Linked DNA regions of Macaca mulatta. The protein of the gene in region 3 purifies or fractionates together with the protein of the main gene of each other region. This does not show direct contact. Links are inferred from orthologs where the notes say so. Each region holds a gene or a part of one and is shown on either strand. Other genes may lie near its edges.

Region 1 (10,681 bases), on a different chromosome or scaffold from region 3:
ACAGGAGCCAACTTTCATTTTTTTTTTTTTTTGAGATGGAGTCTCACTGTGTCGCCCAGGCTGGAGTGCAGTGGCACAATCTCCGCTCACTGCAAGCTCCGTTGCCTCCCAGGTTCATGCCATTCTCCTGCCTCAGCCTCCCAAGAAGCTGGGACTACAGGTGCCTGCCACCACGCCCGGCTAATTTTTTTGTATTTTTAGTAGAGATGGGGTTTCACCGTGTTCACCAGGATGGTCTCGATCTCCTGACCTCGTGATCCGCCCACCTCGGCCTCCCAAAATGCTGGGATTACAGGCGTGAGCCACCACGCCTGGCCCCAACTTTCATTTTAAAAGGAATGCTTTGATTGCTGTGTTCAATATAGAATGTAAGAGGACAGGGAAGAAACAGAATATTTCAACAATTGAGGCAAGAAATTATAGTGGCATGGACCTCATGTGGCCATGGGGCTGTGCAACAGTTATATTCTGGATACAATTCTTAAGATGAAAGCAGCAGGAGCCACTTTTGCAGGGGGGTGACATGGGGTGGAGGAACAATCAGGAGTTCATTTTAGACATATTTGAGATGTCTGCTATCTAAGTAGAGATACTGAATAGGCAGGATAAAAATTTGGAAACTGTCAATGATATGTTAAGCCGTAAAAATACATAGGCTTGCTCTAAGGAATGAGATTCAAGACCTCCAAAGATAAGAGGACAAATAAACAAAGTAAGTTACAAAACAAGTGGCAAATGAGGTAGGTGACCCAAAAAGCAAGTGAAGAAACTGTTTTAAGCAAGTGGTGTGAAAGGCACTGAACTAGCCAAGTGAGGATAAGACTAAGAATCATCACATAGAGTGGCTGGGCACAGTGGCTCACGCCTGTAATCCCAGCATTGTGGGAGGCTGAGGTGGCTGGATTGCTTGAGGTTAGGAGTTTGAGACCAGCCTGGCAAACATGGTGAAACCCATCTCTACTAAAAATACAAAAATTAGGAGTGACACATGCCTGTGGTCCCAGCTACTCGGGAGGCTGAGGCACAAGAATCGCTTGAACCCAGGAGGCGGAGGTTGTAGTGAGCCGAGATCGCGCCACTGCACTCCAGCCTAAGCAACGGAACAAGATTGTCTCCAAAAAAAGAGAAAAATTATCACATAAAGGTTTTCATAAATTTTAATTTTATATATAATTGTACCACTACATATAACGCCCCTGGATCCTAAGTGGTATAAATTGGCATTTGTGGACTGGCATAGGAACACAGCCATAATTTATAAACCTATTTTAGAACATACCTACTATATGCTGGGTATTAGTCCTGCCACTTCATACCTATTGTTTAAACCTCAACAGCTTCATCATATGGATCAAATTATCACCATTATGCAAATAAGTTGAGACTCTGAGAAGTAAAGTAATCTACACAAATTCATAGTTTGTACATCAAAGAATCAGAATCCAAGCTATGCCTACAAACCCCGGGCTTCTTCTGAAAAGCTAACTAGGAAGATAAGATAAATTCTTTCTAGCTCTGAAGTTAGCAGTGGAATAAGGGAATTTATTTGCAGGGGAAGTGAGAGCAGAGGCGATGGTGAGATAATCTTGCTTTAACAAGAATAGGCTGCAACTCAGGGAACACTTGTACATTGATTTTTATGTTTATGGGATGCTTGCTATAGTTACTGAGTTTTACATGCTCAGTACTTTTTTATACATGAGCATCAGTTTTTTTTTTTAAACCCAGCTTTCATTTAATTCCTCTGCCCCCTGTATTTGAGGGAGAAAAGGTAAGGTCAGATGCTTTACATAAGTTCTCAGGTGAAGAAATCTGTTCATTTATTTTAACGTTAACTTTTATTTAATCACAGTAATCATGATTAAATGATTTACCCAGCCTGAAAGTATTTCCATTTGTGGTGAGAGTGAGTGAATGAGGGAAGTCATCAAGGGAATTTTTAGCTAATTACACTACTTGGGAAGACCTGTGGTCTAGTGGAAAGTATGTAGGCTTTGGAATTAGAACAAGCTGAAGCTGGAAAGTCTGAAACACCGTGCTCAATTCTGGTATAAGTATTCAATTGAGAGTAGCTGTAATTAAGATTATATGTAAATTTAAGAATGGCAGGATGGTCAATCAAAACTTGTACAGGCTTGGTAACCATCAAGCACATCCAGCCAGGATCTCAGGCTGTCTTAACCCCTGATATAAGCCCTATATTAGAAAGAATCAAATTATGTTAAGACCAGATATTCCTCACAGCTTTTTCTGAAGCAAAGCTACAGAGCAGCTCTTAAAGAAAAGTAAATGTTTGGGGGCTATTGACGAAAGTATGAAAAATGGTGGCCAAACTCTGCTTTGAGACTTGAGGCAAAATAACTTACAAAGAAAATTCTTTTCAAAATATTCTATAGTTTGGGCTGGGTGCAGTGGGCTCACTATAATCACAACACTTTGGGAGGCAGGGGTGGGAGGACTGCTTGAGCCCAGGGGTTTGAGACCAGCTTGGGCAACATGGCAAAACTCCATCTCTACAAAAAATTAAAATATTAGCCCAGTGTGGTGGCACATTGACTATGGTCCCAGCTACTCAGGAGGCTGAGGTGGGAGGATTGCTTGAGCCCAGGAGGTTGAGGCTGCAGGTAGCTGTGTTTGCACCACTGCACTCCATCCAGCCTGAGTGCCAGAGCCAGACTGTCTCATTTAAAAAAAAAAAAAAATTCTATAGTTTAAGAACAGAATTTTTAAAAGAACTATAATATAAAAGTATGGAACCTATAAGAAGCCTTTGCTAAGTAAACTCAATTTCCTTAATCCACATAGCCTCTAGGTGGAGTATACAGGCATGGCACCTTTTTGAAAGATTCCTTTGCAGCTTCAGTATGACTCAGCTTAAAATATTTTTTAAAATACTAAATAAATGCTCAGTAATGGTGCCTAGGAAGTGAAATATACCATTGGAAATAAGTATATTTTTGATACCAGTACTGTAAAACCCTGATGTGATTCAGCTGGGTTCTGAATGGATCCCAGTTAAAAATGGAACCTGTTTTGGCTTTATGAATGGCTGGTTTCATCTATGCAATGTAAAAGCCCTGTAACGACATCCTGAGTCATCTATCTTCTTTGTTCAGAGCTGACTCCTAAAATGGAAGGCATCACTTGAGAAATACCTGTAATTTGAAGAACTTCTGGTGGTATACTTGAAAAACACTGTGGTGTAAGTTGGAATGGACCGATCAATGGTTTTTCTTTTGTCTATTTTTATATGCAGTTGGCAATAAAAAAAAAAAAAAATTACTGACTGTTGGGTGTGAAAAATGGGCCTGGTAGCTGCAATGCTTATATTAATAGTAGTATCATACAGATGACTTCAGAGTAATAAGAAAAATACCCCTAAGTGTTATCAATGGCCTATTTGAAATTATTTTAATAAATGAATCATCTTTCAAAATTTGCCCTATATATGTATGTGCATTTATACTCTATATAGGTTTACCAAAAAAAAAAAAAAAAAAAAAAAAAACCCCACAGAGGGGCACATGTTAAAGTAGTAATTGTGATTACCTAAAGGAGATAGGGGAAGGCATTGAGTACAGAGAACTGTTAACTTTATATATGCCTGTACAACTTTCTAAAAGTTTATTACAATGATATATATTGTTTTATAATTAAAATTAACCTTACATATGATACATACATTTTAGAGATTAAAAACTAGTTTTTAAAATGAAAAGTTTTACATGCCACGATTAGCCAAATCATCTTCAGAGCATTTTAAAAATACACTTCTAGTTCAAAGAAGTATGCCCCTCATCGATGAAGTTAAACTATTTCCCCTTCAAAACTGGCAAATGAAGTACTGAATTACTTTAGTAAAATATAATTAAAGCAAAGATAATTGTTGTTTTAGCTTTCTAAATATTTATTACTAAACATATTAAGAATACGTATTTTTAAGACCTTAAAATATATGTAGAAAAAATACCAGGAATTCTTGGACTGACATGAGTTGTTTACCTTAATTTCCTAGCCTACGTTTGTGTTTTATGTTTAGGGTGTGTTCTGCATCTGGATGTGGAGTTATTTTACATTTCAACACGCTCTTGAAGAAAGTCTTCTTTCAGACTATTTAGAAGGCAGAGATTAAGTCCTGGAAATTATTTAAGTATCTTATTTCTGCTCTTAGGTTAAATGTAACTTCCTAGCTCAGCTCTCTCTCTCTTCCTGAGATTAGCTTTTCGTCATTAGGGGAAAGGAGTCCACGTTGGTTGGGGAGCCTGCGCGCCAGCATCCCGGCGCATCCCGGGCACCGGCCGAAGAGGACCGGCCGAACAGGACCCGCGGCCCCCGGGGAGTGCCGGCGCCCAGCCCGCGGCGCGGAGGGGCCGAGCCTGCGCCCGCCTCCCCCGCTGGTTGGTCGAGGAAGCCAGAAATCAGCGCGAGGACAGCCTCGCTCTCCTCCCCGAAGCGGCCAGGCATGGCCAGCCCGGAGAGTGCGGCGACTCCACCGTGAGCTCTCGAGAGTTACTGCCTCCCTTTCGCCGGGGGCAGGCGGGCGAAGGGGCAAGAAGAGGCGCCGTGCGCCGGGGTCGCTGGCCCAATTCTCGACTGGGGTAAGATGGCTCCGCTCCGAACTCGCCGGCGCGACCACACGCACAGCCTCTCCCTTCCCAGCCTCCGTGCCCGGGCCCGGAGGGTCGCGGAAGCTGTTGGCGGCGCTAAGCCAGCCCGGCGCGACCCCAGGAGGCGCCGCGGGCGCGAGTGCGGGTCTCCGAGCTGCCCGCCCGCAGACAAAGCTGACAACATGGCTTCCTCCGCTCAAACAAGTTCCTCGCAAGTTGAGCCCGGCAGGCGCCTGGGCTGCGGCGGAAAGCCGCGCGCGCCTCGGCGGCCGTCGACCATCAACTTGAAGTTTCCCTCCGCAGAGCAGCCCGCGGCCGCCAGGCGCCGAACACAGCCGCCCAGCGCGAGGCCGGGCCCGGGAAACTTTCAACGTCTGCAGCCCGCAACTGACAGCCCGGGCGCACGGGCGCCGCACTCACCTTCAGACAGGTCCTCGATGCACTCGAAGGTGATCTCGAACTGGAACGGGTTGTAGAAAGGAGAAGGGTTATCCAGCACCACTACATTGTTCACCTGAACCTTTGCCATATTTTGAAAAAAACACAAACAATGGGAACTGGGGCTGGTTGCGGCACAATAAAGTCCAGCGCGCGGCCGCTCGGGAGAGCGCAGACCCCCGCCCCAGCGCCGGCCCGACGTTGTGCAGCGGCGACTTGAGAAACTTTTTTTTTCCTCTTTTTATTTACACGGGAGCACTCCACAGTGTTTTGCAGCTTTCCTATTTCACTAAACTACAGCCCATTCTGCTCTGATAAGTAGCAGCGTTGCCCTCGATTGGCTGCACCCGAGCTCTGACCCTCCTCCTCCAGCGAGGGCCTCGGCAGCCAGCAAGATGGGCTCCCGCTCCCGGAATGGACTCGGAAACTTTAACTGCGGCTCCACCTGCTGGTGTGGATTAGGACAAAGGCGGAGAACAAAGTGAGTGGAATAAGGGCTGGGAGGCCCGCGCGGAGGCCGCCGGCGGCGGCGCGGAGAGGGGCGGCGGGGGCGTGGCCGCGGCGGGGAGGCGTGGCCGCGGCGGGAGGGCGCGATTCGGCCGACGCCCGCCCCTCCGGTTGGCTTCGTGTGGGTGTTTTGGCGTTTTTTGTTTTTTTGTGGTTTTTTGTGTTTTTTTTTTTTTTTTTAATTTTTTAACGCTCTTTTTACATCATTGCAACAGCTTTGCCGGCCTTGCTGAATTTAGCAGATGAGAATCGGTGTTTACACTGGGTTAGGTTCAGCTTTCTGTGTATCGGGTAGTAGTTGGAGTAGAGAAAAAGATTGCCTGCAGGGGAAATAAATTGCATGTTATAGACCGATGTCAGCTCGAAAGGAGCAAAGCCATTTTGGAAATCTAGCTCTTGGCCAGTATCTACGTTTAGGCACGACAGCGCCGTTAAGCAACACAAAATGAAGGGCGAGGAATGATTTTCCACACACTGTGCTTGGAAAATTTAAATAGGTAACCTTTGGGCTTACACCTGGGCGTCTTCTTCGGAGTCCAGATCTGGAAAGTCCTAGAATAAGAAAAAAATCACAAGAGGTGTGATCAGTTATACCCTAGGTTACTGCCATTGGGAGAGCATAGCAGGAACATAAAAGGAGAAAATGGAAGTGTCAGGAGACCAACAGGGCAACACACATAATAGAGATGGGGAAAAGAACACGAAGACATAGCAAGACATTTGATCTTCAAAAAAATTTCTGACCTAAACCATTAGTAAAGCAAATTCTGAGGAGCCCTTGCTTGCCTGTAACCAGTTGAGATCTGAACTGAGGAAATGTTGATTCGTTTATGCTGTTTGACTACCATTGCGGGGAAAGAGAAAGCTTTAACACATTTGTGAGCCTAAACCGTTTCTATTACTAGTAAGTGGTATAAAGATTTGTTTTTATTACCTGCTATCCATAAACCGTCACTTTTTTCCTTAAATGTTGTGAATGAAACCACCAAACTTGGCCAAATTCAGAGAGAAAATTAATTCTGAAGTATCTGCTCTGGAAGAGTTTTCTCTTAGGATAGTGCCCAGAATGTTGATTTGTCATTCTTTGGGCATTGTTCATACTTAAGTAGGTGGCTTTTGATGAAACGTTTTCATCTGATGGTCTTTTGAAAGTTAATGTGAGACAGCTAATGTCAGCCCCTCCTACATTTAGGAAGACCAGTTAGAGTGGGGAAGAGTTCCCTTTTTTTGTCATGGATTGAACAGTTAGATATAGGACCTACCAGGAAAGACTTCTTCAAGCCAGTTGTTTGTGACATTAGAGTATTAAGAGTCAAACCATGGTGATAGACACAGATTTTTGTGACTGATAAACCATATACTCTTCATTGTTATTGGTGCTGGTTCTAACACTAGCTAAGATAAAGTGGAAATTGCTATATGCTGTAAGACACTCTGTATGTGTAAGGTAAAATGACCATTTGAAGATTAAAACTCCTGTGAGACTGGTGTATGCAGCTCTGTGATTATTACAGGTACTCTTAAGAGGAGAGTCTAGTCATTCTCATAAAAATGACATTTTATGCTTGTTAAAATCAGGTGCATTTTGCAGTCTGACCGTAAGTGTTACAGTGAGACTCGTTATAAAACTCACTTTTGGTGGATGTGCAGCATGAAGGACTGAGAAGATCTACCTGGATACCACTAATTTGGCTTATTTTCTTTGAAACTTTTCGTTTAACACGTCATATACCATATACAACAGTATTTAAGAAGAAAAGATTCCCCGACATTTCACTGGAAGCTGCAAGAATTAGCTCCAGGCTTCTCCTGTCTTAACTCTTGTATTATTGCTTGTCAGAAATACTAAAGGGTCGTTGAACACTTTGTTCAATAGTTTCCTCACCATTGACACTACCTTACTCCAGGAGAGATCCAAAAGGATTCCTCAGATATCTCCTGGCATATTTCTAATTTAACTGGTATGCTGTAGGAAAAAAAGAATTGTGAAAGCCTCTGTCTGGTTTCAGAGGCAATCAATAGGACCTGTTGCTGAACAACTTTGATGACTCCCAAACAGCTAATTGTACAACAGATGGGTCACTGTGAATATCTTCCTTTATTAAGTACCCAAGGGGGTCCCACATGATGTTTGGAGGGCTGCATGGAATGTAATCCTCCAGTCGCTTCTCACTATGGGTTACTTGGGGGAAGGATGGTGGCTAAGAGAGATTTTATCAGCTCTAAGATGAACAAAGCCTAAGCTAGTGCTTAGGGCAAAAATAAATGAAACTAGTTACTTGTTGTTTTAGACTGAATTATGTCTCCTCCAAATTCGTATGTTGAAGGACTAATCCCTGGTACCTCAGAATGTGACTGTATTTGGAGATTAAGTTAAATGAGGTGGTTAGGGTGGGCCCTAATCTAATCTCACTGGCATCCTCATAAGGGGAAATTTAGATTTACAGAGAAGCACCAGGGTCACACGCACATAGAGGAAACACAGCAAAAAGGTGGCTATTTGCAAGCCAAGCAAAGAGGCTGTAGAATAAACCAAACCTGCCAACACTGTGATCTTGGATTTCTAGCTTCCAGAACTGTGAGAAAATAAATTTCTATTGTTTAAGCCACCCAGTGAGTGAGATTTTGTTATGGCAACTCTAACAACCTAATATAGTTGTAAGATATTTTTCCCCTCAGAACTAAACTTATTTGAGAATATAATCTTACTGAATCCAAATATTGATCAGTTCCCAAACACTTCCTGTGGGTGAAATGACGTGGTCGTTCAGCCATGCCAGTGAGGGTGTGGCATATGTGGAGTGGTGTGCTGTTGCCATTCTTTAGAGGAAGTATATACCACTGGGCATATAGCTTGAATTCTGAAGACACAAGATGCAGCTTCCTTGCATGGATTCACGACTCTTCTACAGAGAAGTGAAACTTGAAGTCAAGTTGAGGTCATACACAAAACGAGATGAAAGAGCGAATTCAAATATACTAGAATTGAATTAAATCAAAATGTGCCGAATTAAAATATATTAGAACTAGGAATTAAATTGAGTGTCAGCCCCTGCCTACTGCAAAAGTTATCATAGGAATGGAAGTACTAATCTCTAGCTTTTGTTCAAATCTAGATTTCCACCTGGGGTAATTATACTATCACTGTGTTGAATTATCTTCTCATTTGTATTATTACCAACTTAAAAATTTTTCTCATGTAAGGCTTGTTTTAATATGGTCTTTAGTTAGTTTAAAAGGCTCCTTTTTATTTATTAGAAATAGGTCAAAATTTAATGATAGTTTTAAATAAAATTTTCTGTATAAATGTAGACTAGAGATTTGATGGAGTCCATGGACATTTCTAAATGGAGTAAATTGTACAATAATGATTTCAATAATAATTCTTTACATACATACAGAGAGCATTTTTTGTGTGAAAATTTTATGCTAGGCTCTATGAGAAATAGTCAAAGACATACAAAGACCTTATGGTTCAGTAGGAAAGGTAACTAATCAAATAAGTATGATGCAGAATAGGAAGTGTTAGATGCACCTGTAACCAGTTATGTTAAAATAGGCAAAAGAAAAAGTGTTTTCTTGACCATTTGTAAAAAACTTTAAAATACCTATGTTTTTGAGCCTCACAAACAGGAATGGTAGGAGGGTAAGATATCATCCCATATAACAAATGAGGATGCTGGTGCTCAGAAACCCGTTCCTCTGATGACTGTCCTACCTTTGTACTCTCCACCATGTCAGGTAAATTTTAGAGTGGGCTTCGTATGTAGAAAAAATAGATTGCTATCATTTTCTGGAAGAACCCACAGGCTGGCGGACACTCCAGTAATTACTTGATTAATGAACTCTTGAGGAACAAAGCTCCATTAATGAGGTTGGTCCAGGTGCATACTGGGAGAGAGAAGGAGACCCAGCCAAGGCAAAGCTGGGGGAGGCTCCACACAGGAGTATTACAGATGTCAAGCCTCCTGTTGAAAAAGGCATCCCTTGGAAGTTGTAGGGGATGGAACTACACATCCTGGAATGTATCCTTATAGTTTTTATAAGGTTTCCATGTCTGTTACATAGTGTACCCTCTCCCCTTCTCTGCTCCACCTCACTAATAAAAGTTTCACTGTTTTGTGTTCTTTGCTAGCCACCATTGTTTTAGAAGTTTGTTGAAGATATAAGCTATATCTGATCCCTTATCCGTAGCTGGACTATACTGTAAAATACCTTTTAGATAACCATACATTACATCAGTCAGCTTTCTGAAGCACTGTAATTACGTTTATTGGCAGTTTCTTGGTGTTTATATCATTATGTTGTTTTTGACCAGAAGAATATGAATGGAAATGCCTAAAAATTATTTTCTGTCTTTTGTACTTAGTTTTTTGTCCATGTCTTCTTAGCCCTCTTATCAATCAAGGTCCTTCTAAACTCATTTCCTCTTGAACTCAGTCTCTACTTGCAGTCCATCTTCCTTCATGTTTTATAGTATATTCCATCCTTTTCTCTCTAACCCTCTACTGCTCTCATTCATCAGAGGTTCACTTTTTAATACCAGGAAAAAAAGCAGTAATCAGTAGAGAGGACTCAAATCTTTAAAACATCTCTAGGCTAGACCACTGCTTGTACAAAGCCATTGCTAAGCATAGCAGCTTTTCTAGTTGGTTACTATAGAGACAAATGACATTAGATGGAGTCATGCTTGGCAGAAGCTAGGCAAATAGGCTTTGTGAGATTGGAGGCCTCATATGCATGATCATTTAGAAAGAGTCAAAAACCAGAAAGGATAGGGAGGGGAAATGCTTCACAAATGAGCTAATAGGTAATTAATTGGTAGAAATTTGGTTGGTAGAATTTGTGCCTGCTAAGGCTTTGAATCCGGCATACAAACAATCCACATCCAAGTACCCTCTGGTATGATTACACAGTAATTTTTTTAGATAACAGCTTTATTGAGATAGCATTCATGTAACATTTAATTCGCTCATTTAAAGCGTCTGAGTCAGTAGTTTTTAGAATATTCAGAGGTGTGCAGCCATCATCACAATCAATTTTAGAGTATTTTCATGATCTCAGAAAGATACTTTGTAGTCTTTAGCACATCCCCCTTCCCAGCATATCCCCCAAGCAGTAGGCAAGCA
Region 2 (10,924 bases), on a different chromosome or scaffold from region 3:
AGTCTCAGGCCTGCTAGGTTAACTCTAAATTGCACAGACACCAGTTATATAAAAGTATAGAACATGACAAAAACTATTGTTTAAAGATACACGCCTATATGCACAGAAGACTGTAAACACCAAATTCAGGGTTGCGGCTACATTTGAGGAAAAAGGAAGAGGAATGGGTTTCATGTAGGGTATAAGGCCCTTCAGTTGCATCTCTAATGTTTTAGCTTTCAAGCTGGGTAACAGTATTTTGCTATAGCACTTCTTACACTTTCTTGAGCATGTGTGCACCTGAACTATTACACAGGAAGAATGAAGACATACCTGCTTATCACTATGTGCTACTAAGTTCATAGTTTTTTGTTTGTTTTTAGACAGGGTCTCGCTCTATTGCCTAGCTAGGCTGGAGTGTAGTGGTACGATCTTGACTCACTGCAACCTCTGCCCCTGGGGCTCAAGCAGTCCTCCCACCTCAGCCTCCTGAGTAGCTGGGACCACAGGCACATGCCACCACACCCGGCTGATTTTTTTATGTTTTGTAGAGTTGGGGTTTTGCTATGTTTCCCAGGCTGGTCTTGAACTCCTGAGGTCAAGTAATCCACTTGCCTCAGCCTCCCAAAGTGTTGGGATTACAGGCGTGAGCCACTGCACCTGGCTGGTTCACACTGAGTACTTTTCACATTCCAGGTATATGCTAAACTCACCCTTTACATAGATTTATTGATTTATTTATTTATTTATTTATTTATTTGAGATGGAATCTTCCTTTGTCACCAGGCTGGAGTGCAGTCGCGCAATCTCAGCTCACTGCAACCTCTACCTCCCAGGTTCAAGCAATTCCTCTGCCTCAGCCTCTGAAGTAGCTAGGACTACAGGCACACGCCACCACGCCCGGCTAATTTTTTTGTATTTTTAGTAGAGACGGGGTTTCACCATGTTCACCAGGATGGTCTCGATCTCCTGACCTCATGATCCGCCTGCCTCGGCCTCCCAAAGTGCTGGGATTACAGGCGTGAGCCACCGTGCCTGGCCAATTTTTTTGTATTTTTAGTAGAGATGGGGTTTCACCATGTTAGCCAGGATGGTCTTGATCTCCTGACCTCGCGATCTGCCCGCCTTGGCCTCCCAAAGTGCTGGGATTACAAGCATGAGCCAGCGTGCTCGGCCAAGAAAGGGTACTTTAAATAGGGTACTTTGGGAAGTCTTCTTTCAGAGGACATTCGAGCTGAACCACAGCGAAGAGAATGAGACAGCCATGCAATTATCCGGAGGAAGCACATTCCAGGCAGAGGGAACGGCAAGTGCAAAGCCCTGCGGCAGAAATAAGCTGGGTGTGTTGAAAGAAGGGGAATAAAGCCAGCTGGGCTTGAAAGCAGTGACAAGAAGAATGGTAGATGAGGCCTGAGAGGTCAGCTGAGGCTACCACGCAGGGCAGCCTAAGCCATAGGAAAGATCTTAGGTTTCATTCTAAGTAGGATAAGCCTTTGAAGGTTTTAAGCAGAGTAATGACATGATCTGGTTTACAAGTGAAGATCATTCAGCCAGCTGTAAGGAGAATGCATCATAGACAGGGCCACTTTCTTCATTAGCGCCACGGAAATAATGCTGGTGGCTCATGAGCTTCTCAGGGGCTATGAAAAGGTCAGGGATAGGGATAAAGGGAAAAAAGTTCCACAATGCAAAGATAAAACTACAAAGTTGGAATGAATAAATATTTAAATAAGCATCTAGAAATATGACATCATGACAACTGCATTAATCATTAAATTTAGTATTCATAAGCAATCGAATTACATTTGGAAATTAGATTTTCTCAAATCACAAATATCCCCAAGTATGCAACGATTGCCAAGAAATCAAAGGAATCATAAATGTGAGCTTCCTTGAAGCCAAATAATTTCAAAAGAATATTAAAAAGCTTTCAATTTTTTTTAACAGCTAAAAAAATTTTTTCTTAATGTGAGATGTACACACCAAAAAAAATGGGCTAGGCGCTGTAATCTCAGCATTTAAAGACAAGATAGGTGAACTGCTTGAGGCCGGAAGTTTCAAGAGCAGCTTGGGCAACAGCGAGACCCTGTCTCTACAAAAAATTTAAAAAGTAAAACAGGCAGGGCATGGTGGCTCATGCCTGTAATCCCAGCACTTTGGGAGGCTGGGGCGAGTGGATCACCTGAGGTTAGGAGTTTGAGACCAGCCTGGCCAACATGGTGAAACCCCCATCTTCACTAAAAATACAAAAATTAGCCAGGCAAGGTAGCGTGTGCCTGTAGTCCCATATAGTCAGGAGGCTGAGGTGGGAGAATCGCTTGAAGCCAGAAGCAGGAGGGTGCAGTGAGCCGAGATCGCACCACCGCACTCCAGCCTGGGTGACAGAGCAAGACTCCCTCTCAAAAAAAAAAAAAAAAAAAAAAAAGTAAAACAAATCAGGCATGGTGGCACGCACTGGTGATCCCAGCTACTTGGGAGGCTGAGGTGGGAGGATCACTTGAGCCCAAGAGTTCCAAGTTACAGTGAGCCATGATCATGCCACTTCACTCCAGCCTGGGAAACAGAGCTCTGTTTAAAAAAAAAAAAAAAAATCCCACAGGAACTGGATTGTTTCCAGAGGTGACTAGGTAAGAAATACTAGTGCCTTTGATCAGTGCTATTCAGGCTTACGGCCTGTGATTTTGAACACTGTCCAGGGCACCCTTAGAAAGCCCTCTCTGGGGAGAGGACATTTGAACAGAGACTTGAATGACGAGAAGGCATAAGCCAGCCAAGAGCCCAGAAGAAGAGGTTCTGGGCAGAGCTTTGCACTGGGAGTGGCCTGTCAGATTTTTAACAAAAAGAGGGTTACTTAGGCTGGTTTGAAATTGGAGCTAGGTAGTTAAGAGGAGACAAAGCATAGTTTCGAAGACAATGCTCTCATCCTGAGAAGTGACCTGGTCAAATGTGTTTTTGACCTTCACTGTCCAGTAATACAGGAGCCACTTGTCACAGGGGTTCAGGAGCACTCAACTGTGGCTATCAAGACACCTAAACTGAACTTTCTTTTCTAAAATTTAATTTAATTTTTTTTTTTTTTTTTTTTTTGAGACGGAGTCTTGCTCTGCCGCCCAGGCTGGAGTGCAGTGGCCGGATCTTAGCTCACTGCAAGCTCCGCCTCCCGGGTTCACGCAATTCTCCTGCCTCAGCCTCCCGAGTAGCTGGGACTACAGGCGCCCGCCACCGCGCCCGGCTAGTTTTTTGTATATTTTAGTAGAGACGGGGTTTCACCATGTTAGCCAGGATGGTCTCGATCTCCTGACCTCGTGATCCGCCCGTCTCGGCCTCCCAAAGTGCTGGGATTACAGGCTTGAGCCACCGCGCCCGGCCTAAAATTTAATTTTAATTTTGAGAGACAGGATCTCACTCTGACACTCAGGCTGGAGTGCAGTGGCTGGAGCATCCTGGGCTCAAGAGATCCTCCTGCCTCAGCTTCAGGAGTAGCAGAGACTACAGGTATGCACTACCACACCTGGCTTATTCTTTTATATTTTTGTAAATATGAGGTCTTGTTATGTTGCCCAGGCTGATCTTGAACTCCTGGCCTCAAGAAATCCTCCATGCCCAGCCTCTAAAATTTAATTTTTTTAAAAAAAAGTAAATCTTGGCCGGGCGCGGTGGCTCAAGCCTGTAATCCCAGCACTTTGGGAGGCTGAGACGGGCGGATCACGAGGTCAGGAGATCGAGACCATCCTGGCTAACACGGTGAAACCCCGTCTCTACTAAAAAATACAAAAAAAAAAAAACTAGGCCGGGCGTGGTGGCTCACGCCTGTAATCCCAGCACTTTGGGAGGCCGAGGTGGGCAGATCACAAGGTCAGGAGATCGAGACCATGGTGAAACCCCGTCTCTACTAAAAATAGAAAAAATTAGCCGGGCGCAGGGGCGGGCGCCTGTAGTCCCAGCTACTCGGGAGGCTGAGGCAGGAGAATGGCGTAAACCCGGGAGGCGGAACTTGCAGTGAGCTGAGATCCGGCCACTGCACTCCAGCCCGGGCGACAGAGCGAGACTCCGTCTCAAAAAAAAAAAAAAAAAAGTAAATCTTAAATTAAAAAAAAAAAGATATGGCTGGGTACAGTGGCTCATGCCTGTAAACCCAGCACTCTGGAAGATCAAGGCGGGCGGATCACTTGAGATCAGGCGTTTGAGACCAGCCTGGCCAACAAGGTGAAACCCGGTCTCTACTAAAAATACAGAAAAAAATTTAGCTGGTTGTGGTGGTGGTCACCTGTAATCCCAGATACTCAGGAGGCTGAGGCAGGAGAATCGCTTGAACCCGGGAGGTGGAGGTTGCAGTGAGCCGAGATCGCGCTATTGCACTCCAGCCTGGGTGACAGAGCGAGATTCCGTCTCAAAGAAAAAAAAAGTGGTTTCCAAAAAATGTAAAATTAGGTGCGCGGCTGGCATTATTTTTCCACTGGGTAGAGCTGATCGCCCGTGGGGGCAGAGACTCTGCGACCTGGAGTCTCCCAGGCCGGGGGCGACGGGATGCGGCGGAGAGAAGTTTCCGGATGTATTGTGCGGTCATGAATCATGTCAGGGAATTGCCACTGCCCCCGTTGAATGGAGAGACGCTGCCTCAGGAGCTGAGTAGCAGAGCCCGGACTCGAACACTGGTCTGCCCCCGAACTGAAACTCCCATTTTCAGTACCGTCTGCTTGAAACCTTCCAAGAGCCCTTGAGGGGGCGAGAGCGGGATCCAAACCCCTCGGGGGCGAGAGCGGGATTCGAACCCCTCGTGGGCGAAAGCGGGATCCGAACCGGGCTGGACTCCCGAGGTCCCAGCGCGCCGCGTGACCGCCACTCCGAACGTTCGCAACGTTCACAACGGACTCCAGGGCCGCTGGACCTCAAGGGTCAGGAGCCACTCAGAAAAGCTCCAGACTACGCTCACCTGTTGACAGACGCTGAGGGCGCAACCCTCCTCCTCTTTTTTCACACTCGCCAGCACCGCGGCGGCGCTCGACTTCCGCTTCTCTCCAGCGAATCCCCAGCTGAGCCTCATTCTGCTCCCGGCACTATTACCAATCCAGCCAATCAACTCTCAGAAAACCCTCTTTATCTCCGCCCCACTCCCTCCTGCCAATCACTGAGGGTGCGAGCACCGCCCTTCCCGCCTTCTTTAGCGAGCGCCGCGCGCCACCGCTCGGCGGTTGGCGGCGCTGCGCGGTGCGGGATGCAGCTCCCGGAAAAGCGAGGCGAGGGGCGGGCTACGCCGGTGCGGGAACCCTCAGGATTGGGCAGAAGGAGTCCGGCGCTCTGACTCCGTCCACTCCCGCCGTTGACATCCGAGTCGGAGACGCTGGGGATTGGTTCCCAGCGGACACGCTAAGAAGCCTGGAGATGGTTTCGCCCTCCTCACACGCCGCGGAGAGGGAGCTCCGCTGATTGGTCCGGGGAGTCTGGGCGCGCGCCGACTGGCGCTCCAGGATTGGCTGAGGGGGTGCGCGCGCCGCCAGGGGAGCGTTGGCGGTGATTGGCCAGAGGGCGGAGGCCGGCTATTTGAAGGCGGTCCGCGGTTTAGGTGCGCACTTCAGTCCGCGGAGGGAAGAGGCGGGAGTGGACTTGGTCTGCCGTACCCCACTGACGCCCCCCCACTCACCGGACCCAGGCGCGGCCTCCGCCACAGCCACAGCCCTGCCCCTGCCCCTGCCCCTGCTGCGGCGCGGCGCGGCGCGGCGAGGCGAGGCGAGGCGAGGCGATGGCCAAGGTGTCGGTGCTGAACGTGGCGGTCCTGGAGAACCCGAGCCCTTTCCACAGCCCCTTCCGGTTCGAGATCAGCTTCGAGTGCAGTGAAGCCCTGGCGGACGGTGAGGCTGGGCCCGTGCGGGGACCCCCACCCCCGGGCCGACCCCGGCCTCCCCTTGGAGAAGCGCTCCCATGGCCAACTTGATCTCCCCCATGAAACCCCTCGTCCCCTTTCCGCCAATCCCGATCTCCGGGTGGAGACTCCCCGCCATCAGCCAACTCGGACCTCCCCGTGACCTCCTCTCCCACTGCCCGCCTTGACCTCCCGGGTGGAGACCCCCAGCTAGCTAACTCGGACCTCCCCGTGACCTCTTCCCCCACTGCCCGCCCCGACCTCCCCATAAAGATTAACCCCAGTCAAGCCCCACTTCCCGCGTGGGAAACCTCATCCATCTTTTTAATCTGGAGGTCTTCCTAGGTACCCGTTTTCATGGAGAGATCTTCTTGGCCTCCATTTCTTAAGCCACGGAGATCTTCAGCCACCGTGATTTCCCTGTGGCAAGACCCGCGCTTTAGCCACCCACCCATTTTTGCCCACTTATTCCCTCTTTAGTGAGATACTCACACCTCCCATTTTCCCTCTGGAGACTCCGAATGTCCAGCCCCTTCCCATTTTCCCCGGGGGAAATCCTAGCCATCTGCTATTTTCCCTATGGAGATCTCTCACGCAAGCTCCTTTCCCTCCTCACCGTGAAGACGCTCCCCACCAGTAACCGTTTTTCGCTGTGAAAACCCCTCAACCCCTTTTCAGGACCGCCCTCGCCCCCATCTTCCCATTTGTCTCCCACCAATCCCCTCCCCAACCTGCCAATATTTCAACAACCCCACCCGCACCAGTTGCTGTTGCTTTTCTGCCATTGCACATACCCTGGAACCTGGTTCCTCCTTCGTTGGGGCCCAACCCCTGCTATGCTTGAGCTCCCCCTGGGAAAGGATGCTACCGTCTTTGAGGGGAACTTGGTCTCCCCAGCTCCCCTTCCCCACCCTCTTCTGTGGACTTGGATAAACACACTGAGATCTGAGGGCTGGCATAGCCAGGCAGGTATTAGCTGCTTCTCCAGGTTTGCCCACCCATTTCCAACTGAGTTACTACAGCAGTTCTTCCCTCGCTTTTTCTTTCTTCTTTTTTTTCTTTTTTCTTTTTTTTTTTTTTTGAGACAGACTCTTGCTCTGTTGCCCAGGCTGAAATGCAGTGGCACGATCTCAGCAATTCTCCTGCCTCAGCCTCCCGAGTAGCTGGGACTACCAGCACCTGTCACCATGCCCGGTTAATTTTAGTATTTTTAGTTGGAGGCAGGGTTTCACCACATTAGCCAGGCTGGTCTCGAAGTCCTGATCTCAAGTGATCCACCCACCTTGGTTTCCCAAAGTGCTGGGATTACAGGCGTGAGCCACCGCGCCCGGTCTTTTTTTTTTTTCTTTTTTTTTTTTAATATAGCTGGATAATCAGTGCCAAGCTTCCATTGCTTTTGATGGTCTGACCTAGTCTGGAGGGTGAGTGGGTTGGGCTGAGCTGTGACAGGCTCCAGCTTCAAACAGTCACCTGGAGCCCGGAGGTCACAGCCTCCTGTACATCTTTTCCAAGGTGCTTCTGCAGATGTACTTGTTAATCTGTGTGACTTAAAGGTGGACATGGCTCTCATCTCACAGATGAGAAGACAGGAGCCACAAAGCGCAAAAGACCTTTCAAGTCAAGGCCTGTACAAATCCAAAATCTAAGGTCACCCAGGGAGCCTTGGCACCACTAAAATGCAAGTCCTGCTTTCAGAAAGAAGTACTCCATTAGGCCATTTTTCTACTTGGTGGTTAAAAGAGAAAAGGCAGTAGCCGAGGAGGTAGCGATCTGGGGGCCTGTGAAGCCAGGATGTGCTAACTAGTGCCTTTCGGGGGCAGGTGGGTGTTTGGCCCTCAAAGCTGGTCACCTGGACTAGCTTGGGGCTGATAGAGTGAGATGTGGATGTGCTTCGGGTAGGCCAGTGGGTCTCTCTCTCCCCGGTCTGTCTTGCTCCTTTTTAAATTAAGCAGTCTACTTGTGGCTAACTATAGAATAAGCCGAGTTAAATCCTTTCTGGAACAGGGCAGCGTGTAAATAAATAAATAAAGTGTAGAATGACACTGTGGAATAAGATTTAATTTAAAAGCCAGGAGGAAATGGAAGGAAGTAATAGGTTGAGGGATTCCCAGCTCCCAGGCGGCAGGAGATCAGGTTTCAATCAGCCTGTTTGTGTTCCTTGCATTTAAAAATGGTTGTGTGGTCATTATCTGGTACTTCTCCTAGGAAGCCCCTGCCCTGTGACTTTACTTATTTATAGAATTAGAGGCAGAAAGGCTAAATTCAACCTGCTGCTCCTTTTTTTGTTTTTTTGGAGACGAAGTCTCACTCTCGTCCCCCAGGCTGGAGTGCAGTGGCGCAACCTCCGCCTCCCGGGTTCAAGCAATTCTCCTGCCTCAGCCTCCCGAGTAGCTGGGATTACAGGTGCCTGCTATGACGCCCAGCTAATTTTTGTGTTTTTGGTAGAGATGCGGTTTCACCATGTTAGCCAGGCTGGTCTCGAACTCCTGACCTCAGGTGATCTGCCCGCCTCAGCCCCCCAAAATGCTGGGATTACAGGTATGAGCCACCGTGCCCAGCCTCTGCTGGTCATCTTTTAATAGAAATGGAGTGATTTATCCAGGGTCACCCAGCCAGTTTGTAGAAATATTGGCACTGAAGTTTTGAATCTAAGTTCTTTATCTTTGCTCCGATCCAGGGAAAGAAAGGAAGAAGGATTCCCTATTTCAGAGGTGGAGCATAGATAGGAATGACCATACAATTTATTGCCTAATCAGGATACTCAAAACACAGTAAAGGGGAATGCTATTATTATTATTATTATTTTATTTTATTTATTTTTTGAAATGGAGTTTCACTCTGTCACCCAGGCTAGAGTACAGTGGCGCGATCTCAGCTCACTGCAATCTCCACCTCTTGAGTTCAAGCGATTCTGTGGTCTCAGTCTCCCAAGTAGCTGGGATTACAAGCTTGAGCCACCATGCCCGGCTAATTTTTGTATTTTTAGTAGAGATGAGGTTTCACCATGTTGGCCAGGTTGATCTCAAACCTGACCGAAAGTGATCTGCCCGCCTCAGCCTCCCAAAGTGCTGGGATTACACTTTGAATCACAAGCACGCGGCCAGGGAATGCTATTGTTAATTGCACCCGGATGATAAAGCTTTTCCTTCAAGAAACTCAAGTGAGAAATCCTGGCTCTTCCAGTCCTAGGGCTCTCTGTGACTGATCTGCCAGCTTGCTTTCTGCCTCTTTCTGGCCTCCTCTCCATGAAAAAGAGAATCTGGCTCACTCTCAGCAGTGTCAACTGAAAATCTTGACAAAACCCCCAATCCAGCTGTGCGAGGTGGCTCATTCCTGTAATCCCAGCACTTTGGGAGGCTAAGGAAGAAGGCTCTCTTGAGCCCAGGAGTTTTAGGCCAGCCTGGGTAACATAGCAAAACGTTGTCTCTACAGAAACATCAAAAAATTAATGGGACTTGGTTGCATGTGCCTGTGGTCCCAGCTACTGAGGAGGCTGAAATGGGAGGATTGTATGAGCCCAGGAGGTCAAGGCTGCAGTAAGCCGTAAGCCATGGTTGCACCACTGTACTCCAGCCTGGGTGAGAGAGCAAGACCCCATCTCAAAAAAAAAAAAAAAAAAACCACCCTAACTCCTAAGCCCCAGTTGAGTGACTCCTATTTCTCAAGGGCCTCAAGCCCCCTTTGCACTTTTATCTTCCACATCTGGAAATAGATGCTTCCATGTTTAGCTGAGAAATTCAACAGACACTGGTTGAGTAAGTCATAGAAGCCAGATGTTCTGACCCAGAACTAACAAAGCTGTTATGGCAGCAGGACTGATCTTTGATTATGAACAAAGGCAAAAAAAAAAAAAAAAAAAAAACAGGCTGGGCACGGTGGCTCACGCCTATAATCCCAGCATTCTGGGAGACCAAGGCAGGTGGATCACCTGAGGTCAGAAGTTCAAGACCAGCCCAGCCAACATGGTGAAACCCCATCTCTACTAAAAATACAAAAGTTAGCCAGGCTTGGTGGTGGGCGCCTATAATCTCAGCTACTCGGGAGGCTGAGGCAGAAGAATTGCTTGAACCTGGGAGGCAGAGGTTGCAGTGAGCTGAGGTTGTGCCACTGCACTCCAGCCTGGGTGACAGAGCAAGACTCTGTCTCAAAAAACAACAACAGGCCAGGCACAGTGGCTCACGCCTGTGATCCCAGCATTTTGGGAGATCAAGGCAGGCGGATCATCTGAGGTCAGGAGTTTGAGCCCAGCCTGGCCAATGTGGTGAAAACCTGCCTCTACTAAAAATACAAAAGTTACCTGGGAAGGGTGGTAGGCGCCTGTAATCCCAGCTACTTAGGAGGCTGAGGCAGGAGAACCGCTTGAACCCGGGAGGTGGAAATTGCAGTGAGCCCAGATTGCGCCATTGCACTCCAGCCTGGGTGACAGAGTAAGACTGTCTCAAACAACAACAAAAACAAAAAAGCAGGAAGCAGACTCTTTAGCTAGTTCAGCTACAGTAATCATGTACGTGTCTTTAGTCTTATCATTTATATATATATGTACACACACACATACATACACACACACAGTGGAGGTATGTCTTGTACAGGGACTAGCTTGTGAAGTTAGCGCAGAGAGATAACATGGAACACAGTTGAGTTGCCTTGACATTGCTCAGAAGGTTAGATACACACCTCATGTGTACAGCTGTGTCCTGTACACAGTAGCTATGAGTTCGTGCTGTGTTGGTGATTTGTGTCCCATGTATAATTCTAAAGAAAGATTATATTCAGAAATGCAATCATACACATATGTCGCTACTTACAACACTGCAGCCCGATTTTTTTTCTTTTTTTTAAAAGAGATAGGGTGTTGGCCGGGCACAGTGGCTCATGCCTGTAATCCCAGCACTTTGGGAGGCTGAGGCAGGCGGATCACGAGGTCAAGAGATCGAGACCATCCCAGCTAACACAGTGAAACCCCGTCTCTACTAAAAATACAAAAAATTAGCCAGGCGTGGTGGCGGGCTCCTGTAGTCCCAGCTACGCGGGAGGCTGAGGTAGGAGAATGGCGTGCACCCGGGAGGCGGAGGTTGCAGTGAGCCG
Region 3 (10,722 bases):
TTTTTTTTTTTTTCTTGAGACAGACTTGCTCTGTCGCCCGGGCTGGAGTACAATGGCGTGATCTCGGCTCACTGCAACCTCCGTCTCCCGGGCTCAAGCAATTCTCCTGCCTCAGCCTCCTGAGTAGCTGGAATTACAGGCGTATGCCACCACACCTGGTTAATTTTTGTATTTTCAGTAGAGACAGGGTTTCACCATGTTGGCCAGGCTGGTCTTGAACTCCTGACTTGATGTGATTTGCCTGCCTTGGCCTCCCAAAGTGCTAGGATCACAGATGTGAGCCACCACACCCAGCCTATTTTCTTTCTTGTATCCCATTTGGAAGTCATGTAGTCATGTAGGATAATGGTTTCTGGATAATTGCTTTGGGAACTGAAACTCATAACTTTACCCTCATTAGCACTATAAGCTAAAAAAATGAGCTAACTACTTGTCTGTGTTAAGGTATGTATTTTGAAATGAAGACACATTACATACATGCATTTTTCTTTTAGGTCTTAGATTTCCTGCATCAATTTTCTGATGACCATTTTTTTTTTTTCTTTTTGAGACGGAGTCTGTCTCCCAGGCTGGAGTGCAGTAGCGCAATCTTGGCTCACTGCAAGCTCTGCCTCCCAGGTTCATGCCATTCTCCTGCCTTAGCCTCCTGAGTAGCTGGGACTACAGGCACCTGCCACCACGCCCAGCTAATTTTTTGTGTTTTTAGTAGAGACGAGGTTTCACCGTGTTAGCCAGGATGGTCTCAATCTCCTGACTTTGTGATCCGCCTGCCTCTGCCTCCCAAAGTGCTGGGATTACAGGCGTGAGCGACTGCACCTGGCCTGATGACCATATTTTTTACGCCAAATTTTAAACTATTCTGGAGGTTTCAAAGCAAGATAGTGAAATTTATCAGTCCACGTGAACTTGAGCCTGTACCAACACATGGTTGCTGCTTCATACCTAATAGTGTAATATGGCCCTTTTCTCTGAAGAAAATGCCTTTGCCAAATCTCCCTTACTACAATAAATGTTATCATAGTAATACCACTTCATACCTACATAGAGTTTTAGAGTTTACAAAGCTCGTTCACAAATATTCCGTTTGGTTTTTACAACAACCCAGTGTGGTGACTGGGCAGTACTATTATCTCCACTTAATAGATGGAACAAGGTTGAACAAGCATGAAGTAGTAGAACTGGGACTAGTAGAGCACTAAATTTCCCACAAGATATGTTGTCTCTTCCATATATATGAGGACAGCATATTCCTTTTGTAGAAATTTTATTTATTCCATGATTGTAATAGTCACTTTCTTAAATTCCCTTTAGAACAAAGTAAAATATAAGTTAAAAAAAAAAAAAAGAAAAGAAATCCCTACAAAAAAAGAGAATGTTTTTTCCTTTTGGATAATTTTACCACTACCTTTCCAAAATAAGTCATTCTTTTATCTTCTAGGTAAACTGTACCAAAACATCTATTCTGTAACATTAAAAAAATATATGTGAGGATGGACGTGGTGGTTCATGCCTATTATCCCAGGATTCTGGGAGGCCAAGCTAAGAGGATTGCTTGAGGCCAGGAGTTTGGGACCAGCCTGAGCAACATACTGAGATTCCATTTCTATCAAAAAACAAAAAAATTAGCTGTGCACAGTGGCACACATTTGTAGTCCTGGCTATTTGGGAAGCTGAGAGGCAGGAGGATCTTTTGAGCCCAGCAGTTGGAGGCTGGAGGCTGTAGTGAGCTATGATTGCATCATTGCAATCCAGCCTGGGTGAGAGTGAGACCCTATCTGAAAAAAAAAAAAGTGAACCTCTAATACGAGGACAATATAAAACCTCAATTTTGCAAGCAGATCACATTAAATGCTAGTCACACAATGTATCAGTAAGTTTCATCATATTTTTTCCCTACAACCATAATATCACAGGACTAATAATCTGTGATATACCACAGTTAAAATGTAATTCTTCTTGATTTCTTACTTATAAAGAACATAATTGCTTTTGATCAGCAATTGATCCATAGATACGGTGATTTCAGAAAGAAATGATGAGTCTTGCCGTTTTGAAAAGAAAAGATTTTTTTTTTTTTTGAGATGGAGTCTCGCTGTCTTGTGCAGGCTGGAGTACAGTGGCGCTATCTCAGCTCACTCCAACCTCTGCCTCCTGGGTTCAAGTGATTCTCCTGCCTCAGCCTCCCAAGTAGCTGAGATTACAGGCGCATGCCACCAAGTCTGGTTAATTTATTGTACTTTTTAGTAGAGACAGGGTTTTACCATGTTGGCCAGGCTGGTCTTGAACTCCTGACCTCAGGTGATCTGCCTGCCTTGGCCTCCCAAAGTGCTAGGATTACAGGTGTGAGCCAACGTGCCTGGCCAAAAATGATTATTAAAGAAAAAGATTGTTTTCCTTTTTTGATCCATAATGTCATTAGTCCCATTGATTTCAGTTTTCTGTCTTAACATTATGACTGTAATTTCTTGTGTATCATTAGGTTTCAAGAAAAAGGATCTGGCCGGGCGCCGTGGCTCACACCTGTAATCCCAGCACTTTTGGAGGCCGAGACAGGCAGATCATCTGAGGTCAGGAGTTTGAGATCAGCCTAACCAACATGGAGAAACCCCATCTCTACAAAAAGACAAAATTGCCAGGCGTGGTGGCGCCTGCCTGTAATCCAAGCGACTCAGGAGGCTGAGGCAGGAGAATCGCGTGAACACGGGAGGCGGAAGTTGTGGGGAGCCGAGATTGTGCCATTGCACTCCAGCCTGGGCAACAAGAGCGAAATTCCGTCTCAAAGAAAAAAGAAAAAGTAAAAAAGAAAGAAAGAAAAAGGATCTGGGCATTCTCAGTACCTTTTCTGATCTTTATCTTCGGGAAAGCCATCTCTGTATCGTTCAGCAAATAAATACTGGGCTGAGTATCTGATGAACTGCACTCTGCATAGGTTGCATTCTGAGAGAGAACTTGGGCAGTTTATCTTTTCTGGGATTTGGTTTCCTTATCTCTAAAATGAGAAGGCGTGTTACTTCTAGACCATCATCCCAAGGGTCCATTTTAGCTTTAGCATGCATCAGTGTAAAACCTGTTAACAAATATTTGTTGAGACAAGGAATTCTGGTGTATAGCCAACATTGTGGGAATATTTGTGGATACCTAAACAGTGCTTTATCCTCTGGGCAAAACAGTTCCAACAGCTACTAAATACTAACAAGGCCTACGGCTAAAATCAGGTAGCACCTTGTGATGTAATTCAAACCACTAGAACATGTGGCATGCAAGACTACATCAGGCCACTTAGGTATTTATTAGTTAACAATTTATTTATTTATTTATTTATTTATTTATTTATTTATTTTTGAGACGGAGTCTCACTGTCTCCCGGGCTGGAGTGTAGTGGCGCAATTTCGGCTCACTGCAACTTCTGCCTCCAGGGTTCGAGCGATTCTCCTGCCTCAGCCTCCCGTGTAGCTGGGATTACAGGCGCCCGCCACCATGCTTGGCTAATTTTTGTATTTTTAGTAGAGACGGGGTTTCACTATGTTGGCTACGCTGGTCTCGAACTCCTGACCTCAGGCAATCTACCTGCCTCGGCCTCCCAAAGTGTTGGGATTACAAGCGTGAGCCACCGCGCCTGGCCTAGGTAACGATTTTTCCGCGTTAAATGATTGCCTACTAACCTGAAGAGTGAAAGCAGAGTACCTAAATATCATAGTGTATACGTTAAAAACAGGGGAGAAAGGAAAAAAGATGTTAAAGTTTACAGCAAAATGAGAAACAAAGGAGGAAAATAAGTGAAAACTTCTTCCGAAACTGAGACTCAACCTCTACATTTTACCCTAGGTAAAATCTTACCTAGGGTAAAATTGCCCACAGGTCTCAAGTGTTTGGATGCACTGTCCAGGCCAAGAGGAAAGATTTTCAGCCAGTCTCCAAAACATCTCAGGGACGGGTAAGGAAAACAGGCGTAAACTGTCTGTATTGATCAAATCAACCCCAGAGAAACTTTCCTAGGTCCGGAGAGCATCTCAACCGCGAAGGTTCATTTGCGGCCTCCTTCTCCACTTCAGGCCTGCAAAGCGGCCGACAGCATTCGCACTGGCTAGGCAATTCGCACAGCTAACGGCCCGTGCAGACTTCTCCGCGTTAGCCCCGCCTCCTGAGGCGCTTCCGCCGCCGGGCTCCTGGACACGCCTCCTTTAATTGGCTAACGTCACGCTGGGAGTGGGCGGGGACAATGTGTCAGACTGTGCGGTCACTTCCGGCCCGGGAGCGCGCGGGTTGATTCGTCCTTCCTCAGCCGCGGGTGCTCGTAGCTCGGAAATGGCGGGTAAGTTCCCGGGAAAAGTTTACCAAGGGGAGGAGGCGGCCAGATCTGGGATAGAACGCTGAGACGGTGGTGACAATGCCCGCCTGGAACTTTCGGGCTGTAGCCTGGGTTCCAGAAGGCCTGCTTGGGACCGGAAGCGCGGAACTCTCAGCCCAGCAGCTCCCTGTTGGCCGCGGTCCGCGCCCCCGCCCCCAGCTGCTTGGGGTTCTGCGCCTTTTGCGAGCACCCCGGCCCCTACCGAGGGCCGAAGAGGCCGGGGGAAAGCGTCAAGATTTGAGCTTGTAAAATGCCACATGCCTTGGGGCCTGTTTCTCTTCCCATTCCTTTTGTCCACTGCTGCTTGCTTCAGATCTTGTACATCTGGTCCTGTTCCCGCCAGCTGATTTTAATGCTCAGATCTCCTCCTCTTCCAGGTCTCCGTCTACCTTCCAATACAGTCAACTTCTGAGCTAGCGCATTGCTGACTTGCCCTGCTCTAGCGCTCCCACTTGGATCTCGACTGACTTCATAATCGTCTCCTTAATCTCTCACACTTTAGTATTCCGAGGATCGTATTTAGATGCCTTTTGAGAAAGACTTTGTTCCTGAACTCCTCCCTTCTCTTTTAGGGTTGGACTACTATAATACAATTCTCTTGAGTACATTCTAGCGTCCCTTCAACTTACAACATTTAATAATGTATAATTGCTATTACTTTGTACGTGTATTAAGGCTGTTTTGGTGTGATTATTTTTTTCGATTACTTATCTTTTGAAGTTATGGACAGTTTCTTTTTCCTGAGACAGGGTCTCTCTGTCGCCCAGTCTGGAGTGCAACAATCATAGTTCCCGGCAGCCTCCAACTCCTTCTACGCTCAAGCTATCCTCTTGCCTCAGCCTCCCGAGTAGCTAGGACTACAGGCATGCACCACAACATTCGGCTAAAAAAAACACTTTTTAAAAACCTTTTAGAGACGGGGTCTGGCTGTATTGCGTCAGGCTGGTCTGGAACTCTTGGCCTCAAGCCATCCTCTCGCCTCTGCTTCTCACAGTGTTAGAATTACAGGATTGGGCCACTTCGCTGGCCTCTGTTGCTTTTATCATCTCTTTACAGGGCATTCCTCGTAGTCTCCATTTTTATGGATATGTGGGATAGATGAGCTGTTGTGTGAGCTCTAGAGATGTTCAAAGAAGGACTTTTTACCAGATAGAAATTGTAGGATCTTGAAGTACAACAGAAGAGGGAGGACATACGTTAAGAATTACATCTAAATTCGAATTTGGGGCCCATCATTTAGTAGTTGGATGCCCTTCAACTCAACCTCTTTCTAAGCCTGAACTTCTGAATATAAAGTGGAGTTGATATAATACCTACTTACAGAATTGTGCGGATTAAGCTAATATATGATTTCGCAGGTTAAATTTTGTTGCTTACATTCCTCGAAGTAAATTCTGTAATCTTAGTTCTGTAGATTAGGGTCAGCGGGATTAAGTAATGTACTCTAGTTCACTGAGCTCACTAGCTCAGTAAGTGTGTGAAATAGTCAGAATCCAGAAATTCTGACTCCAAACTATTAATCTATACTGCTTCAAGTCTCCCATTTTCTGTGTGTGTGTTTTAACCCCTTATTGAAGTTCATAGCACATCTAGCACATCATTGTACCCATTTTTACTTTTTGCTTATGGCTTTTTTCTGCCTGAAATTTTACTAATTTTTTTTTTTTTCGGAGACTCTGAGTCTTGCTCTGTCACCAGACTGGAGTACAGTGGTGCGATCTCCTCAACCTTTGCCTTCCAGATTCAAGCAATTCTTCTGCCTCAGCCTCTGGAGTAGCTGAGACTACAGGCGCGCACCACCACGTCCAGCTAATTTTTGTATTTTTAGTGGAGATGGGGTTTCACCATGTTGGCAAGGATGATCTCCATCTCGACCTCGTGATCCCCCTGCCTTGGCCTCCCAAAGTGCTGAAATTACAGGCGTGAGCCACCGCGCCGGGCCCATTTTTTTTTTTTTTTTTTTTTTTTTTTTTTTTTTTTTGAGACAGACTCTCGCTCTGTAGCCCGGGCTGGAGTGCAGTGGCCAGATCTCAGCTCACTGCAAGCTCCGCCTCCCAGGTTTACGCCATTCTCCTGCCTCAGCCTCCCGAGTAGCTGGGACTACAGGCGCCCGCCACCTCGCCCGGCTAGTTTTTTTTTTTTGTATTTTTTAGTAGAGACGGGGTTTCACGGTGTTCGCCAGGATGGTCTCGATCTCCTGACCTCGTGATCCACCCGTCTCGGCCTCCCAAAGTGCTGGGATTACAGGCTTGAGCCACCGCGCCCGGCCGCCGGGCCCATTTTTACTAATCTTTATATTCATTTTGTCAGGAGATTTGTTACCTTGAAAGTTTCTTTTGATAGTGATATCTTCTAGTGTTATTTATTATATATATTATTGAGTAACCACTTTGTAGTAAAACTACTTTATTGTGCCAGTAGCTCACAGTTTATGACTTTAGGCACACATGATTTTTAAATATTTAATACAGTGGAAAGATGTTTTCTTTGTGCCCCTGTTCCTCTTCCTTCTTTCTTACCTAGGGTAACTGTGGTTACCAGATATTTGTGTATTCTTCTTGAGACATTCCATGCATTATCATTTCCTTATCTGAAGCACTCTGGTAGACTTTTTCCAATACTTAAAATGAAGTACTGTCATAATTATCAGAGGACATTCTCATTTTGCTTTTTACATCTTATAATGAAAAAGACGACTTAGGTATAAATCTTAGCAGATTATTTGTATTAGTAAATGTTCAGAAATGTTAGTAATCTATCATGTTAATTTTCAGGTTTATTCATTTATATTAAGTATGCCTAGTTTATAAACTTGTATCTCAAAAGTGATTTCTTTTTCTGTTTTGTAATGAGGCACCTTTTTTTTTTTTTTTTTTTGAGACGGAATCTTGCTCTGTCGCCCAGGCTAGAGGGCAGTGGCGTGATCTCAGCTCACTGCAGCCTCTGCCTCCCGGGTTCAAGAGATTCTCCTGCCTCAGCCTCCCAAGTAGCTGGGATTACAGGCACCTGCCACCGTGCCTGGCTAATTTTTGTATTTTTGGTAGAGACGGGTTTCACTATCTTGGCCAGGCTGACCATGAACTCCTGACCTCATGATCCACCCGTCTCGACCTCCCAAAGTGCTGGTATTACAGGTGTGAGCCACCGTGCCCGGCTGGCATTCTTAATACATTTATTTAAGAGTATGTGGAGAATGACTTGTGCTTTTATGATCTGTCAGCATGTTTTAAATCATACCCCTATTCCACTTCTAATAACCCTATTGTAAGTTGGACGATTTAAATCACTTCCAATTAAACGTTTTAAAAACCTTTTCTCTTAGGATTTGGTGCTATGGAGAAATTTTTGGTAGAATATAAGAGTGCAGTGGAGAAGAAACTGGCAGAGTACAAATGTAACACCAACACAGCAATTGAACTAAAATTAGGTATGTATGCCATTTCTAAGTAATATTATGTACATACTGTGTGTGTATATATAATCTTTCATTTTAAATTTGAAGTAAAATTTTATGTAAGAGCAGTTATTTATGCAAATGTATAGTTTTCTGCATTTATTGAACATACTCAGATTTTATTCAGTCTTGATTTATGTCATGGAAGGGGTAGACGTTTGAAAGGTGACAGAATTTTATGTAAAAAGGAAAGACGGTGGGGCAAAAAGTAGTAAGTATGTATAGTTTCAGCTTCTTAAAAATATTTTTAACGTTTTTGCCTGTAAGAATAATAAACAATAGCAAACATTGGTGAGGATGTAGGAAAAAACACTTGTATATTGCTGGTGGGAATGTAAAGTGATACAACTACTTGGGAAAACAGTTTGGCTCTTTTCTTTGTCTTTTTTATTTTCTTTCCTTCCTTCTCTTCTTTCCTTTCCTCCCCTCCCCCCCTTTTTTTCTTTCTCTCTTTCTTTTTTAAAGAGACAGGGTCTCACTCTGTCACCCAGGCTGTAGTGCCATGGCATGGTCATAGCTCACTGCCACCTCCAACCCCTGGCATCAGGCAATCCTTCTCCCTCAGTCTGCCAAGTAGCTGGGAGACCATAGGTGTGCACCACCCAAGCCTGGCTAACTTTTATAAATTTGGTTTTTTTTGTTTTTTTTTTTGAGATGGAGTTTCGCTCTTGTTGCTCAGGCTGGAGTGCAGTGGTGCAATCCCAGCTCACCGCAACCTCCACCTCCTGGGTTCTAGTGATTTTCCTGCCTCAGCCTTCCAAGTAGCTGGGATTACTGGCATGCACCACCATGCCCGGCTAATTTTTTGTATTTTTAGTAGAGACAGGGTTTCTTCATGTTGGTCACACTGATCTCGAACTCCCAACCTCTGGTGATCCGTCCACTTCGGCCTCCCAAAGTGCTGGGATTACAGGCATGAGCCACCACTTATAAATTTTTTCATAGAGATGGACCTTACGTTTCTGTGTGTCCAGGCTGATCTTGAACTCTTGGCTTCAAGCAGTCCCCTGGCTTGGCCTCCCAAAGTGTTGAGATTATAGCTGTGAGCCACAGCACCCCTCCTGGTTTGACAGTTTCTTAAGAAGTTAAACATAGATGAATTATATGACCCAGGAGTTGTACTGCCAGGTATCTGTCTACGGTAGAGAAATGAAAATGTAGTTCATGCAAAAACTTGTACATGAATGTTCATAGACGCATTATTCACAATAGCAAAAAAATGTAAAAAACCTAGATATATATCAGCTGGTAAATGGATATAGTATAGCTATACTATGGAATAGTATTTGACAACAAGAAGGAATGAAATTCTGATACCTATTGCAATGAACCTTAAAAAGATTGTGCTAAGTGAAAGAAACTAAACAAAAACACTATATATTAAGTAATTCTGTTTGTATGAAATGTTCAGAAAAGACAAATCCATAGAGACAGAAAGTAGTGGTTGCCTGGGGCTAGAGGTAGGAGCACAGAGTAACTACAAATGGGCCTGACGTTTCTTTTGGGAATGATGGAAATGTTTGAAAGTTAGATTGTGGCACAGCTCTAAATTTGCTAAAATTTTACACTTAGAACAAGTGAAAAATAATATATGCTCATGATTCCTGGTTGCATTACTTTCTATGCCTGAATTTCCTCATTGTTAATAGTACTTCACAGTAGTTACAAAGATTAAATATGGAGTTAAATGCCAGTAAAGTGTTTAAACTCCTTGACATATAGAAAATACTTGATAAGGGCTGAGCAGAGTGACGACGTGGTTGCTGGGATCTCTGTATTTTTTACATATCCCCTCATTTTGCGATTACTTCATTCTTTGATACCTTGATTACCTTGGAACATCCTGTCATCTGTTATCTCTGTCCCAGCCTTGGAATCAGCCATTTCTCCAAGGATCCCTAGTTTCTTTTAGTAGGAAATGTCATTTTATTTTATTTTAGAGAGAGAGTCTCACTCAGTCGCCGAGGTGGAGTGCAGTGGTGCGATCTTGGCTCACTGTAACCTCTGCCTCCCGGATTCAAGTAATTCTTGTGCCTTAGCCTCTCTAGTAGCTGGGATTATAGGCATGTGCTTACCAGGCCCAGGTAATTTTTTTGTGTTTTTAGTAGAGATGAGGTTTCGCCATGTTGGTTGTCTCAAACTGACCAAGTGATCCACCTGCCTCGGTCTCCCAGAGTGCTGGAATTACAGGCGTGAGCCACTGCACCCAGTCAAGAAATGGTTTTGGTTTTGTTTTTGTTTTTGTTTTTGTTTTTTTTGAGATGGAGTCTCGCTCTGTAGCCCAGGCTGGAGTGCAGTGGCGCGATCTCGGCTCACTGCAAGCTCCGCCTCCTGGGTTCACACCATTCTCCTGCCTCAGCCTCCCAAGTAGGTGGGACTACAGGTGCCCACCACCGCGCCCGACTAATTTTTTGTATTTTCAATAGAGACGGAATTTCACTGTGTTAGCCAGGATGGTCTCGATCTTCTGACTTCATGATCCACCTGCCTCGGCCTCCCAAAGTGCAGGGATTACAGACGTGAGCCACTGCGCCCAGCCCGGAAATGGTTTTTTATTTTGAGATGGAGTCTCACTCTTGTCACCCAGGCTGGAGTGCAGTGATGCGGTCTTGGCTCACTGAAACCTCTGCCTCCTGGGTTTAACTGGTTCTCGTGCCTCCGCCTCCCAAGTAGCTGGGATTACAGGTGCCTGCCACCACACCCAGCTGATTTTTGTATTTTTAGTAGAGACAGGGTTTAAGCATGTTGGCCAGACTGGTCCCGAACTCCTGACCTCAGGTGATCTGCCCACCTTGGCCTCCCAAAGTGCTGGGATTACAGGCATGAGCCATCACACCCATCCACAGGAAATGGTATTTAAAAGCCAAGATCTGGGTGCTGAAGCCAAGATCTAGGTGCTAGATGAACTCATTGCTGTTAG

The links.
Region 1: the proteins of HAT1 (region 3) and ASF1A purify together in Homo sapiens (affinity purification with mass spectrometry; 4 studies listed by BioGRID and IntAct, counting the BioPlex papers as one, with this or other methods). This does not show direct contact. The link is inferred for Macaca mulatta from reciprocal best matches to the Homo sapiens genes HAT1 and ASF1A.
Region 2: the proteins of HAT1 (region 3) and ASF1B purify together in Homo sapiens (affinity purification with mass spectrometry; 6 studies listed by BioGRID and IntAct, counting the BioPlex papers as one, with this or other methods). This does not show direct contact. The link is inferred for Macaca mulatta from reciprocal best matches to the Homo sapiens genes HAT1 and ASF1B.

Annotation. Positions count from the first base shown.
Region 1 is NC_133409.1:23,855,313-23,865,993, reverse strand, and holds the start of ASF1A (histone chaperone ASF1A), read right to left. Parts: upstream 5,477-10,681; 5' UTR 5,137-5,476; coding exon 5,028-5,136; intron 1-5,027. UniProt on the Homo sapiens protein: Histone chaperone that facilitates histone deposition and histone exchange and removal during nucleosome assembly and disassembly.
Region 2 is NC_133424.1:14,718,862-14,729,785, reverse strand, and holds the start of ASF1B (histone chaperone ASF1B), read left to right. Parts: upstream 1-5,106; 5' UTR 5,107-5,719; coding exon 5,720-5,828; exon of another isoform or gene 5,829-5,928; intron 5,929-7,171; exon of another isoform or gene 7,172-8,166; intron 8,167-9,407; exon of another isoform or gene 9,408-9,705; intron 9,706-10,910; exon of another isoform or gene 10,911-10,924. UniProt on the Homo sapiens protein: Histone chaperone that facilitates histone deposition and histone exchange and removal during nucleosome assembly and disassembly. Cooperates with chromatin assembly factor 1 (CAF-1) to promote replication-dependent chromatin assembly.
Region 3 is NC_133417.1:76,836,033-76,846,754, forward strand, and holds the start of HAT1 (histone acetyltransferase type B catalytic subunit), read left to right. Parts: upstream 1-4,239; 5' UTR 4,240-4,305; coding exon 4,306-4,312; intron 4,313-7,670; coding exon 7,671-7,775; intron 7,776-10,722. UniProt on the Homo sapiens protein: Histone acetyltransferase that plays a role in different biological processes including cell cycle progression, glucose metabolism, histone production or DNA damage repair. Coordinates histone production and acetylation via H4 promoter binding.